2 linked regions of the Nothobranchius furzeri genome follow. The protein of the gene in region 1 purifies or fractionates together with the protein of each later gene. This does not show direct contact. Links are inferred from orthologs where the notes say so. Each region holds a gene or a part of one and is shown in the gene's direction. Other genes may lie near its edges.

What was found. Proteins that work in one complex are often made in the same cells at the same time.
Region 2: the proteins of snrnp70 (region 1) and snrpa purify together in Homo sapiens (affinity purification with mass spectrometry; 4 studies listed by BioGRID and IntAct, counting the BioPlex papers as one, with this or other methods). This does not show direct contact. The link is inferred for Nothobranchius furzeri from reciprocal best matches to the Homo sapiens genes SNRNP70 and SNRPA.

Annotation. Positions count from the first base shown.
Region 1 is NC_091758.1:13,877,870-13,881,517, forward strand, and holds part of snrnp70 (U1 small nuclear ribonucleoprotein 70 kDa), read left to right. Parts: intron 1-1,520; coding exon 1,521-1,622; intron 1,623-3,648. UniProt on the Homo sapiens protein: Component of the spliceosomal U1 snRNP, which is essential for recognition of the pre-mRNA 5' splice-site and the subsequent assembly of the spliceosome. SNRNP70 binds to the loop I region of U1-snRNA.
Region 2 is NC_091753.1:42,104,577-42,108,535, reverse strand, and holds snrpa (U1 small nuclear ribonucleoprotein A), read left to right. Parts: upstream 1-1,190; 5' UTR 1,191-1,317; intron 1,318-1,627; 5' UTR 1,628-1,635; coding exon 1,636-1,711; intron 1,712-1,822; coding exon 1,823-1,995; intron 1,996-2,083; coding exon 2,084-2,242; intron 2,243-2,381; coding exon 2,382-2,546; intron 2,547-2,622; coding exon 2,623-2,711; intron 2,712-2,867; coding exon 2,868-3,027; 3' UTR 3,028-3,328; downstream 3,329-3,959. UniProt on the Homo sapiens protein: Component of the spliceosomal U1 snRNP, which is essential for recognition of the pre-mRNA 5' splice-site and the subsequent assembly of the spliceosome. U1 snRNP is the first snRNP to interact with pre-mRNA.

The DNA of each region.
Region 1 (3,648 bases):
TCGTATCAAAGCTGTCATCGGCAACCCTGTGGTTGTGGTGCAGGTAGTCCAGGACAACACGTTTTAGTTTAAATCACCAGTAAGGGATATGTGGATGCAGTGGGACAACACCAGTCTGGAGCTGGCTTTAATGGAAGAGGCAGATGAGGGAAACTCTTTGATAACTCAACTAAATGGACTGTTCATGCATTACATTCCCAGGCAGACACACACCACTACAGCTTCACTGATGAGCTCACGAGTCCCTGTAGCCACAGCCCACCAGTAAACACACTCCTGACTCGGTCAGAGAGAGGTCTCCACTCACCTTAGACCTGTGGTAGGAACATGACTTCACTTGGTTGGGATTACTCCAACAGGTCGCCCAGTTTTGTGCTTGTTTTTTTTTTTTTTTTTTTTTTAACTACCTTGTGTTTGTTTATTGTTTTGTTTCCTCAGTTGGTCCATTTTTGTGGGACTATTGGGGGTTTGGTAAGGCCCTATCATTGGGTGGGTAACTTGTTGTCATCTCTGGTGAACCAGGAAGTGGAGGGGTGGTGGTAAGGCCCCTGATGGAGAGGTTGTGATGCTGCTCTGGTGCAGAGGAATTTTGGTAAGGCTCTACCGGTGGCTCAGATGTTCATGAGGCCATTGGCAGCAAGCTCATGGAATGAGTGTCTAGTGCGCCACACGGTGATGGGTCCGTTCCGGGCTTCCTGGAATCACTCTAGATTTAAACTCTCCAAAACTAAAAGTAATTCTGATTTTAGACAGCCAGCTTTGGTCCGTGTGGCCTTGAATTCATCAGCTGGCTAGACTGGATGATGAGATGTGGTATTGGCTGTACAGTGATCCCTCGTTTATCGCGGTAGATGCGTTCCAGACCTGGATGTGATAGGTGAAAATCCGCGAAGTAGGGACACCATATTTACAGTATTTATTTAACAGGTTCGTATTCAGTATTCAGACTTTTAAAACCCTCCATTTACATAGTACTGTATTTTTACTTGTTTTTTTTTTATAGTTTTATTACAAAAAGTGCATTTTATGATAAAATCGATGAAAAAAAACAGGAATTTCTTGATATTTCGCATAGAAAAATACCGCGAATCGGCGAATTTCCCTTCAATAAGGCTCCAAAGAAAAAATCCGCGGTCGTGAATCCATGATAAAACGAACTGCGAAGTAGCGAGGGATCACTGCATACACACACACACACCACACACACACACACACACCACACACACACAGATGTGATGTTGCTGGCTACGTTAGAACCGTGGGATCTAAATGAGCCGGGCCTCAGGGCTTAATGACGGTCAGAGTGTAACGTATCAGTCACTCATCGGGTGGAAGGAGGTCCTCTTCCGTAATCCTTCGGCTTTTACCCAGGGAGCAGCCATCTCGGCTTCACCTGCTCCTGGTCAGTATATTAAAGCACCGTTTCCTGTTTTCATTTCTATTTTTTTCTCCCTTGCCCAAACTGGTGCTGTTGGAACTCCCATCTTAACTCCGCCTTCCCTCTTTCCCCTCTCTTGCAGCCGCCTACAAGCACGCGGACGGAAAGAAGATTGATGGCAGACGGGTGTTGGTGGACGTGGAACGGGGACGTACTGTCAAAGGATGGCGTCCTCGCAGGCTGGGTCAGTTTGTCCCTTTTAAATGTAGACGTGTCCTCTGTTGCACAGAGAGCCAGGTTAGGGTTAGTGTCCATCTTTTCTGAAGCAACACAAAAAATAAAATTTAGACAACAAAACAAGATAAAAATCACGAGGCACTTCACCAAAACAAAAATTTCAAACTGCAAAAAATATTAATTAAAATGAGCAAAAAATAGACAATTGTGATTAAAAATGTACAGAAAGAGAGAGAGTGAACAGGAAAGAGGGAAATCAGTGGATCCTGAGGAAGGTGGAATAGGTGGGGAGAGCAGAACAAGGAGAGGGTGATGAAGGTCACACTAAAGCCTGAACAGGTGAGTTTAAAGGAGACCACTGAGTCCACTGATCTCAGGCTCAGCGGGAGAGTTCCAGAGTCTGGGGGCCACAGCAGCAGATGATCTGTCACCTTTGGTCTTTAGCCTGGTGCTGCACAACCAGTAGGCTTTGATCACTGGACCTCAGGGACCTGCTGGGGGTGTAGGGACTAAGAAGATCACCAATGTATGATGGTGCTTGTCCATGTAAGGCCCTATAGACCAGAACCAGGATCTTGAAATGAACCCTGAAGTTGACTGGCAGCCAGTGAAGCTGGAGGAGAAGCGGGGTGATGTGGGTGTGTTTGGAGGACTTGGTCAGAAGCCGAGCACAGGCATTCTGGACCACCTGTAGACGGTTCAGGGAGGTTCTGCTCAGACACGTGAAAAGAGAGTTACAGTAGTCTAAGCGTGAGGAGATGAAGGTGTGGAGAACTGTCTCAAGTTCAGAGCGAGACAGAATGGGACTCAGCTTAGCAACGTTCCTGAGATGGAAGAAGGAAGAGCGAACAAGAGAACTAACATGAGAATCCAGGGTGAGAGCTGGGTCAAAGGTCACACCAAGATTCCTGACAGAGGGTTTGGTGTGAGAAGCAAGCTGACCAAGAGAGTCTCTGACTTTGGGGACCAGCTTGTCTGGGGCACAGATGAGGATCTCAGTCTTATCTTCATTCAGCTGAAGAAAGCTCCCACCATCCAGGTTATGATACTAAGCAGGTGTGTAACAGCTGCAGCTTTGACATCTCATGGGGCTCAACCCTTTAAGCGCCACAGTCACAATACTGCGAAAAGCGTTGTTGCTGACTTTAACAAGCCACAGCTACCATCCCTCATGAAGTCACTACTTTACACCAGAAGATAGTGGAGATGTGTAACTTCAGGCTGAACAACACTTATGGGTGCGTTTATATTAACAGTTTCTGAGTTTTTAGGGTTTGAAAACTGCGAGAGGTTCCCAGTCGAGGAGAGGACGGGTGGAGACGAGCGCAGCACGGAGAGGGCGAATATTAGAGGGATAAAACTTAAATTGCAGGCAGGTCTGGTCATGACTGACTCCGATTATAAAGCAGAATATTGTCTCTGATGAAGAAATTCACTCATCCAGCCGGAAAGATGACGCTACTGCAGCAACAGACAGCTGGTGCTGCACGAGAGTATGGTGTATGGAGCTTACAAGCTCCAAGCGTTAGGTTTGACGTTTGTTTCACCGTGTTTGGAACATGGTGGATGTAGAAATGATGGTAAAACACCGCTAATGTGACAGATGTCGCTGCAATGGGGAAAAAAAGCAGCAGATGTGTTACATATGGAAGTCAAACTGTGCCACATAACTATAAAAAATGTTCCTTCCCTTGGGTCAAATGATCATTACACTCATCCCTGGAGCTGTACAAGCCCAAAGAAACCTGACAAATATGGCTGAAAAGCATTCCTCTTGAGTGAGGCCAATGTAAATGTCAGATAATACAATATAAAAGCTAAACTATCTAATTGAAACTTCAAAGGAGCTTTATATATGGATATATAAATAAAAAAATTTAAATGTGATAAATTCAAAAATGATGCATTTCCATTACGGCAGCCTGGTGAGGTCAAAATATGACTGTTTCGGTTCTACTGAAGATTTTTCTCAGTTAATTTTGTCTCTAACCGTTTCCAAGCTACAACCTTTTCAAATAGTTGTGTTAAAATTA
Region 2 (3,959 bases), on another chromosome or scaffold:
ACAAAAAAGTGACAGACGTGTGAAGTCAAGATGAAACAGTGATGTTAAATCACTGTGATGTTGCAAATTATCTGCATTGTTCATGAAGTTTACAAAAAAAAAAAGTCCACAGGCACTACATTCATTTGGGATTTGTTCCTTAATGCGTTCAAAGATTAGTCCCTGAATAAAACTGTTGGGTTTTCACCAGTATGTATTGGTTAACTACCTATTCTTCCCTGCTTCATTACTCATTACTCCCTAAGTCGTTCCCTAGTTACGAAGCATAATTTTACGTACCTTATTGTAAAGTTACTGTTATTCTTCTTAGGTTGTCTACTCTGCCTTTTTTTGACGTCATGTTTTTCCAGTATTTCTGATTTACTGTTCAATTCAATTCAAAAATACTTTATTAATCCCAGGGGGAAACTGATTGCTGTAGTATCTCAGAATAATAATAATAATCAAGTCATCAAAGAGTTATTGTATATTACAATGGCTGTTGGCAGGAAGGATCTCCAGTAGTGTTGCAGCGAAACTGAAGAAGCCTCTGACTGAAGACACTCTTCCGTTGTCGGACAGTCTTGTGAAGAGAATGCTCACGGTTGTCCATAATTTTCTTGATTCTCTGGAGAATCCTTCTTTGCATTATCTCCTCCAGTGGTTCAGAAAGTGCCGAAACTCTGACTGAGTCCTTGAAAGGGCTTGGAGTTCCTCCATCTTGTTGGCCAGTGATCTCACATTGCCCATTATGATCGATGGGAGAGATGGTTTGAATTTCCTCTTTCTCTGTCTCCGTTTTGCTCCCGCTCTGCACCCACGCTTCTTGCGTTTTAGTTAATTTGGGATTTGTCGCGTCAGTTGAGGTATTATTTCAGCCTTTTCAATGTTAAACAGCTGCTCCCGATTGTAAACCAGCTTGTTGCCATGGTTACGCATCATAACAAATGCTCAAAAAGTGAAAAAACCTAAACAATAGCAGCAAAAGTCCTCCAAGCTTCACAGCACCAGAAACAGAAAAGTAAAGTGTCCAAAAAAATACCGTTTTTCTTGAGAAACTAGAAGAAAAAATGTCCAAGAAAAGGCTAAACTTACATATAGTTAACAGAGCTACTCCAACATGCAGCCACCCAGAGCAGCGTAAATAAGAAGAAAAACCATTTTAGTTTTAGCCATTGTAAGTTAAATGGTGTTTTGAGTTTCGCTATTTTGATTTACACCGTGTGGTGGCGGTAATTCACCAGAACGGTTTGGTAACCAACAAATAAGACAAAGAAGAAGAATTTCTTCCTCTTGTTTTCTGGGGAAAAAAGTCTCGGAGCTTTCATTCAATTTCAGGTTGGTACTACGTCAACATCTAACGCGTTTTACATGGTTAAGTGCATTTTAACTGTTGATTTAAAATATTTTTGACAAGCTTAAACGATTTGAGGTAACGTTGGAACTAGTAGAAGTATTTAGGCAGATTAATGACGCTAAATGCTGTTAGTTAGCTTTTAGCTAACACGCTGTTGTTGCCTTCCGCCATGTTTGTTACCATTGCGTTTAGATGCTGGATTTTTGAATGAAATTGGACTTGAAACTGCGTGAAAATAAGCACATGTTTGAGTCTTTATTTTATTTTTAGCTATTTTATTTATTCTCCTAGCCTTAAACATGACCACTCCAGCAGAGGTGCGCCCCAATCACACGATCTACATCAACAACCTAAACGAGAAGATAAAGAAAGATGGTGAGTTTCGCATCATTTTCTTTCCTTTTCTTTGTTTATTTCACGCACAATTAATGCAAAGTCTCCTTTATTATTGTTATTGATTATTTGTTGTTTGTGTGTCTCCCTCAGAGCTGAAGAAGTCCCTTTATGCCATCTTCTCTCAGTTTGGGCAAATTTTGGACATTTTGGTCGCACGAAACCTGAAGATGAAGGGTCAGGCGTTCGTTATCTTTAAAGAGATTAACAGCGCTTCTAATGCATTAAGGTCCATGCAGGGTTTTCCTTTCTATGATAAACCTATGGTACGTCTATTAAACATGTTTAATAATGCACAATTTAGACATTTCTGATGGAAGTACACGTGTGACTCAAATATATACTTTCTTGCAGCGAATCCAGTACTCTAAAATGGATTCGGATATTATAGCTAAGATGAAGGGGACTTTTGTGGAGCGTGACCGTAAAAAAGAAAAGAAGAAGCCCAAACCTGAATCTACAGGAAGTAAAAAAAATGCTGCAGCGATTGCTGGGGTACCTTCTGCAATCCCAGTGAGTGCACTAGGTGTTTTTTACAATCATGGTTAAACAATCTAGATATTTGTTAGTGAAGTAACGGCAGGTTTTAGATGCATTAAGAGTTAAAAGCTCAATTAACATGAATAGAAACTAAACGTTTGTCATTCTTTAGGGAATGCCACCAATGAACCAGGCTCCTCGCATGATGCACATTCCAGGCCAGCCACCTTACATGCCCCCTCCTGGAATGATGCCTCCTCCTGGGATGGCTCCAGGCCAGATTCCTCCTGGTGGGATTGCTCCTGGTCAGATGATGCCAGGACAGATGCCTCAGCAGGTAGCTTGTGTTCTTTTTCCTCACAGAACGTTTTGTTTCCTGTCCTGGTAGTTTAATCCTTACTCTCTTCCCACAGGTTTCAGAAAATCCACCCAACCACATTCTCTTTCTCACCAACCTGCCAGAGGAGACGAACGAACTCATGCTGTCCATGCTCTTCAACCAGTCAGTACTCATTTTCTAGTCATACATTTAAACAGATGCGTAAAAATGGATCAACTTTGACTGTTTTGTGATGCTAACATTGCAAATAATCTGAGAATTTAATTCTCTCAAACTGTTTTTTCTGTAATTGTAACTGAGCTGCTCTGTGCGTTAAAGGTTTCCCGGCTTCAAAGAGGTGCGTCTTGTTCCTGGTCGTCACGACATCGCCTTTGTGGAGTTTGAAAACGAGGTGCAGGCTGGCGCGGCACGAGATGCTCTGCAGGGCTTTAAGATCACTCAGACGAACGCCATGAAGATTTCTTTTGCCAAGAAATAACGCATCTTCCACCAGGTCCTGATTTAATTTGCATACATGTCCGTACATGTAAGTATCTGAGTCAAGTTGCTGTTAAGAAAGTTGGAGTGAAAAACTGGGAGCTCTAACTTTGTGCAATGGTTTGGCTTTAATCTGTAATGCTTGCGCAACTTGGTGTCCACTTCTCTGTTTTTCTGTTTCATAGTTTAAATTTTTTATTATAAACTGTTAAAGCATTGCACCCAGTGTCTGGTCCACCAGACATTGTACCTGGAGCTATTCTTTTTTTTTTATCTTGATTAAAATTTGAATTGGTAAAACACTAGACTGTTCTTTCTTTCGCTGTGTGTGTGTGTGTGTGTGTGTGTGTGTGTGTGTGTGTGTGTGTGTGTGTGTGTGTGTGTGTGTGTGTGTGTGTGTGTGTGTGTGTGTGTGTGTGTGTGTGTGTGTGTGTGTGTGTGTGTGTGTGTGTGTGTGTGTGTGTGTGTGTGTGTGTGTGTGAACAGGTTTGAGCATAAAGGATAACTCAACATTTCCTGTCTGAAATGTCAAAGAAAGGAATTGAGTTTAGAGTTGCATTTGCTTAATCAAGCCAAGCCAACTTTGTTTATAAAGCACTTTAAAAACAGCCCTCGCTGACCAAAGTGCTGAACATAAAAACATAAAAGCATAAAATAGAATACAGTGTAAGGTTAAAAGCACACTAAAATAAAACACAAATCAAATAGAAATCCAAAACGTGTTGAAAGCCAAGCTAAAAAGGTGGGTCTTTAAAGATGATTTAAAAGTTTCCAGTGAGGAGGCCTTTCTAAGATGTGCCGGCAAAGAGTTCTGGGAGCAGCATCAGCGAAGGCCCTATCCCCTCAGCTTACGCTGTGTCCTTGGAACGTCCAGGAGCAACTGGTCAGATGACCTGAGCGACCGAGAGGAGGAGTGAATGTGCAATAGCTCAG